Mus musculus: one gene and its partner. The protein of the gene in region 2 interacts with the protein of the main gene of each other region in a pairwise test. Links are inferred from orthologs where the notes say so. Each region holds a gene or a part of one and is shown on either strand. Other genes may lie near its edges.

What was found.
Region 1: the proteins of Fez2 (region 2) and Scoc interact in binary tests that used the Homo sapiens proteins (3 or more experiments, as listed by UniProt). The link is inferred for Mus musculus from reciprocal best matches to the Homo sapiens genes FEZ2 and SCOC.

What each region holds. Positions count from the first base shown.
Region 1 is NC_000074.6:83,440,260-83,444,173, forward strand, and holds the start of Scoc (short coiled-coil protein), read right to left. Parts: upstream 2,404-3,914; 5' UTR 2,163-2,403; intron 1-2,162. UniProt on the Homo sapiens protein: Positive regulator of amino acid starvation-induced autophagy.
Region 2 is NC_000083.6:78,415,342-78,419,238, reverse strand, and holds the start of Fez2 (fasciculation and elongation protein zeta-2), read left to right. Parts: upstream 1-1,086; 5' UTR 1,087-1,155; coding exon 1,156-1,406; intron 1,407-3,897. UniProt on the Homo sapiens protein: Involved in axonal outgrowth and fasciculation.

The DNA of each region.
Region 1 (3,914 bases), on a different chromosome or scaffold from region 2:
TCTAATCTCACACACTGATAAATGGATATTAGCCCAGAAACTTAGAATACCCAAGATACAATTTGCAAAACACATGAAACTCACAAAGAAGGAAGACCATAGTGTGGGTACTTCATTCCTTTTTAGAATGGGGAACCAAATACCCAAGGAAGGAGTTACAGAGACAAAGTTCAGAGCAGAACCTGAAGGAACGACCATCCAGAGACTGCCCCATCCCATGTTTATGGGATCCATCCTATAAACAATCACCAAACCCAGACACTAGGCAGTTGCCAACAAGAACCTGCTGACAGAAGCCTGATATGGCTGTCTCCTGTGAGGCTCTGCCAGTGCCTGGCAAATACAGAAGTGGATGCTCATAGTCATGCTTTGGACTGAGCACAAGGTTCCCAATGAAGGAGCCAGAGAAATACCCAGAGAACTGAAGGAGACTGAAGCCCCATAGGAGGAACATCAATATGAACTAACCAGTAACCCCAAAGTTCCTTGGAACTAAACCACCAAAGAAAACACATGGGTAGAACTTGTGGCTCTAGCTATATACGTAGCAAAGGATGGCCTAGTCGGCCATCAATGGGAGGAGAGGCCCTTGGTCCTGTGAAGTTTCTATGACCCAGTATAGGGGAATGCCAGGACCAGGAATGGGAGTAGGTGGGTTAGGGAGCGATGGGGGAGGAGATCTTCGGAGGGAAAACTAGGAAAGGGGATAACATTTGAAATATAAAAAAAGAAAATATATAATTAAAAAAATCTCAGCCTCAGCATCCTCATCCATAAAATGGGCCTAATAACTGCATCTTATGGGTTTGTTCTGGGAATTTAATACATCCAGCTATGTGTTTGTGTACTTAGTAAGTATTCAACAGATGTTAACAGACCTTCTCATCTCTACTCTCTTGTTTTGACCACAGAAGAAACTTTAGAAAAATCATGTGGCCAAAGGCCTCATATTAGAACTCCTGGCCTAATCTGAGAGTGGCTTAATTCACATCACAGTAGTCCATCCAGAATCAAGGATATAGTCAATGTCCACTCTGCTTTTCCCATCATTCCACCTCGGCTGGCCTTAACATCTCAGATATGAGTTTGACATTTCCCTAATATCCTTTCAAACTCAACCACCAGACTTCTCTTGAACCTGCAATTAATGTTTTCCATCCATCATCCACTCACCAGCAATAGTTTTTTAAATTTAAAAGTCCAATGCACTACAGGAATGCACTGAACACTTTACATATATAGTTTTATCACAACAGAAAGAAAATGCAATTCACAGATGTGGATACTAAGCCTTATAAAGGCTAGAGGCCTTGCCTCATGTTTCATAGCCAAGATATTATTAAGGTCCTAAACTGAGTTTGAAAAACTCAACTCCTTTGGCGTTTCCACAAACAAAACAAATATAAAATTTCATCTGCATCCACTCCAGTGTGATGTTTCTAATCTGTTCATGTTCTGCTTTGACATTTTAGGGCTTTCAAAATCGATGGAAATCGAGGAACTACATCGTCAATAAGGATCAAACTTAAGTTAGATCCCCGGGGAGCTAGCTGCATCCAGTTTAATCATTGGAGCATACAGACACTAGGATTCCTACGCACAGCTTTGAGTCGCAGAAACGGATAACGGTTTGGGGACCTCTGTCCTTCTGGCTATTGCGACGTCTGTCTCTGGTGGTGTAACAGAAACCTTGGCTTTTCGGGAAACTATGATTTCTCCTTCCCAAACCTTACTCCTCAATATTTGTTCCGCAGGACGCCTGAGAAAAGCTGACAAAGAAACAAACCCAGGTTCTAGCAAAGACGTCCCACCCCAGACATGCACGGGCCACCACGCCTGCAAAGCAATCCTAGCACTCGAGAGGCTGAAGCAGAAGAATTGCGGCGAACTGGAAGGTAGCTCGGGCAGCAGAGCGTCTTCTCCTACTACCCGGTCCCATCGCACCCCCACGGCGTCCCGGTCCCGCACCGCCGGGCTCTTCCCACTGAGCCCGCGGCGTGGGGCCGGGAAGGTGGCTGCGCAGCGCTCGGCGGGATGTCGGGCCTCGCGGCGCCGCAATCCAGCACCCAGGCCGCCGCCCGGGTTCCCGTTCCATCCCGCCCCGCCCCACAGGGCCTCGGCGGTCTCCCAGGCCCAGCCCTCGCCGCCCCGAGCCGCCTCACCTTGCGTCTGAAGCGCCGGGAAGAGGCGGGATGGGTAGGAAGCCTCAGGCCGCGCGGCTCTCCGACCAACTGACAGCGTCAGCCCCGCCCTTCCCGCCCACGGAGCGTGCGCCGAGCGAGGAGGCGTCCTCCCACCAATCCTAACTGGAAATTGCACGCCTGCGCACTGGCTGCTGGACGCCTCGACAGGCCTGTGGCAGAGCACCGGGGTCCACCTTTGCCCTAACAAAAGGGCATTGACGACCAATCAGGATTTTTGGGCGTGTCCTAAAAAAGCAGCGACCAATCACGGCGCAGAAGAGAAGATGCGCCTAAGAAAGCGGTCCTCGCTGAGCATCTTTTGTCTCGCCAGGAACCTGGAAAGTGGGGTGGAAAGTCACTCTAGGTTAAAAAAAGAGAGACGGGGAGAGAGGGAGGGAAACAGAGACAGAATTTCTGGAAATTGCCGTGACCAGACTCTAGGAGAGAGATATTTCGTTCACATTCAAGAACAGAGTGAGCAGAACAGTGCAGCGCCCTCCCCCCTCGATTCTAAAAGCACGGTTTCCTTTTTCCCCACTTCTAAAATTAGATAACGCACAAAGCATATACCATTAATGGATGTTTCTCTTCGTACCCCATATTCAGGACAATTTTTAAACTTCCGTTCACCCGACCACGTCATGATTCCTTAGATCAGCAGTCTCCTGATCTCAGTCTCAGAAAACCCAAGGCTTAATTAAAATTGTGTTTCTTATTCAAGTGTACATGTACAATGCCAGACTTTGGGTTGCTAGGTGATTTTCGTGACACTTCATTATAACCTAACCTTTGAAACAAGTATCTTGCTGTTAGCGGTCAGTGACCACAGTATATTCTTACCTGCAAAGCATTCTTGCTTTGACTTTATCAAAACCTCTGAGCTGTAGAGGCCAGCTTACAAATACTTTCTTCTTGGCTTTTCTTTCTTATATAAGGTTCTATTTTTAATTGCATGAATATGTAGCGGTGTGTATGTACTTGCTTGTGCCTGTGCAAGGTGCCTGCAGATGCCAGAAGAGGGAATCAGACCCCTGGGATTGGGGTTACAGGTGGCTGTGAACCATTTGGTGAGGATGATGAGAACTCAACTCAGCTTCCCGTGAAAGAGCAATAAGTACTGTTAACTTCTGAGCCATTTCTACAACTCCCGGGTATCTTAAACCAATCAAGCAGGATTTGCTAACACGTGACCGTAATCCTTTATAAATAAAGTACCTACCATTTAGTGTTTGAGACGAAAGTATTAGGCTTGGACTACAATTCAGGATTTGAAGGAAGGAGAATATGGGAAGAGAGGGAAACCCCAGGTAACGCTAAGAGGAGTGCCAACAAAATAGAATGAATATGGGCAACATTCAAAGAAGGATGGGATTTTCCAAGATAGTGAAGAACACACTTTCTTTTCAAATGCACATGGGCCAGTCATAGAAATGGGCCTGAAAATTTGTTTTTGGTTTTAATTTTTTATTGTATGTATATTTTACTTGCATTTATTTCTCTGAAACACTTGGGTACCTGGTGCCTGAGGACGCCAGAAAAGAGTGTTGGATCTCCTGGAACTGGAGTTACAGACATTGTGAGCTGCCATGTATGTAGGCGCTGGAAATTGAACCTGGATCCTCTGGAAAAGCTGCCAGTGCTCTTAACTGCTGAACTATCTCTCCAACCCCTTCTTTTTTTTTTAATTATATGTATGTGTATATGTATGTATATGTGTGTGTGCATGTGTGC
Region 2 (3,897 bases):
TTCTTACATTCTACCACTTAACACTTCCTTTTACCCAAGGAGGGGCAGGTATTGTTTGCAAGGAAATTCATTGGGCATTTTGTATTTAATTATATATAAAACGAGCTCACTGGATTGAGTTGCCCAATAAATTTTTATACAATTCCTGAGTAGACACTATATATGTATATATATATATATATACATATATATTCCCTTTTAAAATGTACTTTTCTCTCATACAATCCCTTTGACTGCAGTTCCCCCTCCCTCAACTCCTCCCAGTTACCCCCTTCCCCCTCTTCCCCAGCTGCATTGCTCCTCTGTTTTATAACATTTTATAATATATTATTGAAAGATGTTTCACCCACCTGAATGACACATTTGAAGGAATAATGATTCTGTCTATTATTGGGCATTTACTGCATCTGCCTACTTTCCTTGATTTTTGTTGTAGTTAAATGCATGTGATAAAACTATAATCCTAGCCATCTTCAGGGTACAGTGTATATGGCATACAACAATCACTGCTCTTTACCTTCATGGATAATTTTATTTTGCAAATAAACAAACAAATAAGAAGCTAGGTCTATGAAAAGAAAGCTTTCCATACCTCAGCCATGCTTTTACAAGATTTAATTTTCATTAAATTTTAAAGGTCGGGCTACAGTAATGAAGAAGTGACCATGCATAGCAAGCAGGTGAGTATTTATTGTTGAGGCATTTTCTAAGTACTTTGAGCATATTCACTCACATAATTATTAGCAAGCATGCGTTTTGCACATGGGAGAGATGTATTTGTGGAATGGATTTTGGTACCAAGCAAACATTTCCCAGTAAATCTTGTCAATCTAGATGGAGTGTTAGAAATGTTCCTATGGGGCAAAAATCTGACAGTAAGTAGGTTTAAAGAAGTCTTCCTTTTAGCCACTTTTAGACAGGGACACTGAGGGAAGTTGTTTCTAAATGCTCAAGAACATCGGAAGTGACTCAACTCGGTTAAGGTCTTCCAGAAGACTCAGGAAGGGAAGACTTTAAAGTCAGCTTGGGTCTCCGCTCAACCAAGAGCTGGAGGACAAGGGGCGTGGCCTCAAGTGGGCGGGCACCGTTGGGGCGTGGCCTGGAAGCGACAGGGCGTGGCTGTCTGACCGGGGCGGGGCGCCGGCAGCGGGCGCGATGGCGGCTGACGGGGACTGGCAGGATTTCTATGAGTTCCAGGAGCCGGCCGGGAGTGTCCAGGAACAGGAGAACTGTAACGCGAGCCCGGAGGCTGGCGCGGGGGCACACGCGGGCGGCGACAGCTTCCCGGCGCTGGCTTCCAGCCTGGAGGAGAAGCTGAGCCTGTGCTTCCGCCCCACGTCGGAGGCCGAGCCCCCACGGGCGGCCGTGCGGCCCATCACGGAGTGCAGCCTCCTGCAAGGGGACGAGTGAGTGCGGGCCCCGGAGCGGGCGGGCGGGCGGGAGCGGCCCCAACCTCGCCCTGCCCCCGCCGCAGCCGGGAGTCCCCACAGGCCCCGCCCCGCGCCCTCCTTCTTCCTCGGTCGCTCTGAGCCCCGCCCCGGGGCTGCCGGCCTGGCCCTGGAGTTTAAATGCCCGCTGTTGCCCTGCCTTCCTTCCCCTTGAACCCTCCTGCAGACCCCTGTGTGCTTCCTTGTGGAGACCCTGCCTCCTGGGGCACGTGTGGCTCAGTTCATTCATTCAACTCGCTTTTCTTAAAGCCCCTGTCATGGGGCCTGGCACTGGGGATGCCGAAGTGGGCATTGCTCCTCTCAAGTAGGACACAAAGTGGGATGGGACATAGGTTGGTTAAGCACATGTTTTCCGAGTGTAATGAGTACTTTGATAGGTATTTGTACCGGATACGGGAGATTTCAAAGGGGATGTCCGAATGAAGACTTTATAGCCGCTAACTGAATCCTTGATGGAGATCTGGGAGTTAGGCAGAGTGCAGAGGTGTGAGTTACCATTGAAGTTATAGAAGTCTCTTGGGCCCACAAGAACAAACTGTCACAGAGGCAAAAAGTAAATGGTAGCCCTTACTAATGATATCTAATAGTGTATCCAGAAGACCAGTGCACAGCAGCAATGGCTCCCGTTTTCTCTGTGATTAGCTTCAGTGTGATGACATTCACAGGGGTTGATGAAAGCGCTTTATTCAGACACTTTTAAACCCAATTATTGTTTGTTTACACGAGAGTTGTAATTATGTACCGCATCTTTTCGTGAAAATCTAGCCAAAAGAATGGTGCGAGCCAGTGAGCTCGAGTGTTTTGTTTGCAGGGTGAGTGGAGACCCTAAGAGTACTGGCCCTCTTGGAAGGTGATGGGTAGGACCCGTTTCCAGAACATTGGGAACACAATGGTGGCCGGAGACACTACATGTTAGTGAGGAGAATTGAAACAACAGCATTTTTTATTACATCTTAATAATTTTGTGTGAGTACTTGTGTGATTGTGGACGGGTAAAGCAAGCCTGTCAGACGCATCCTTGGAGTCAGACCACTTGTACAGTCAGCTTCTCTCTCTCTCTCTCTCTCTCTCTCTCTCTCTTTTTTTTTTTTTTTTTTTTTTACAGATCCCAGGTCTCCGGGGTCATTGGTCTTGCTTGATGCCCGGTATCTTTAGGCACCAAAACCATGGGAGGAATTCTTGAACTATGATAAGATTCATGGCATTAAAGAGTTTTAATTTCTCAAGGAATTAGGAAATTTACCAAGAGAGAGCAGAGAGAGAGGACCTATGCTAACATGGGTGACTAGCCATGTTCTCCTCAAGGGCAGTGGAGGTATAAGTGTATGGTGGGAGTTTAAATGCAGAGATAAGCATGCGGTGCACAGCAAAAGGTGACTTTTGTAGATTTTCCCCAAAGAGCAGATGGCTTCCTCTATGTAGATTTATAGACTTGAATTATTGAGACTTACTGCACATTCAGGATTTTTAAATTTATATTTATGAGTACTTTACTTAAAACAGATGAGTGAGTGTAGCTTGTACCAGGATTCTTAGAGAAGACCTATTTTGGGTTCAGCTGGACTTTCTGGAAAGTTTATTTTAGCCTGTGCTTCAGAGTTAGGTGGCTGTAAAATCTAAACTATTTTGTTGCTTTTCCTGTTTTGTGTCTTGCAGCCCATGCTGGCCTTGAACTTGCTTTGCAGTTCAGGCTGACCTTGAACTCCTGGTCTTCCTGCTGCCCTTCTTGTGCTAAAATTATATGCATAAGCTGCTAAGCCTGGTTTTATTTTATTACCCTTTTCCCTCCATTTGGAGTCTCATGTAGCTCAGGCTAGCCTCAAACTCATTTTGTAGTGAGGATGACCTTGAACCTCCATCTTTCTGCCTTGGTCTCTTGCGTGGTGAGATTAAAGGTGTACACTAACACACCCAGTTTTCTGTGGTGTTGGGACTTAACCCCAGGGCACATGCATGCTAGGCAAGTATTCTAGCCTTTCCCCTTCGTTTGTAGCCCAAGTTGCCCTTGACAGTGGTTTTTAGTAGGTGGTGTGTTGGGGAGAGTGCATGTCTCCTGAATTGGGAATGTGTAAACGATCTTTTCAGAGAGCTAGGGCTCACTTCTTCTGTGTCCTCTCTCTTGTATACATTTGCTTTGTGGGGTCAACTGTAACCTGTTTCAGTGGTTAGAGAACCCCTTTGCCCATTTGCTGCCATGACTTGGGTCTTTTACTTGACTCCCTTGAGTTTTGGTTTCAGTTTCTGTCCGTATGGATTGTACTTATCTGCTCTAGGAGAGCCACTGTCCCTGGGACTTTGACTCCATAGGGAGCTCTCTTAGCAGCTATTTATGACAGGTTGTAATATCTTATGATAAAGATGACGGCAGAGAGAGGCTTGCTTGTTGTTCTCTTTTTTTTCTTGGACTCTGGAACCCACAGCTACTCCTTCTGGGAGAGCTACTCCACTG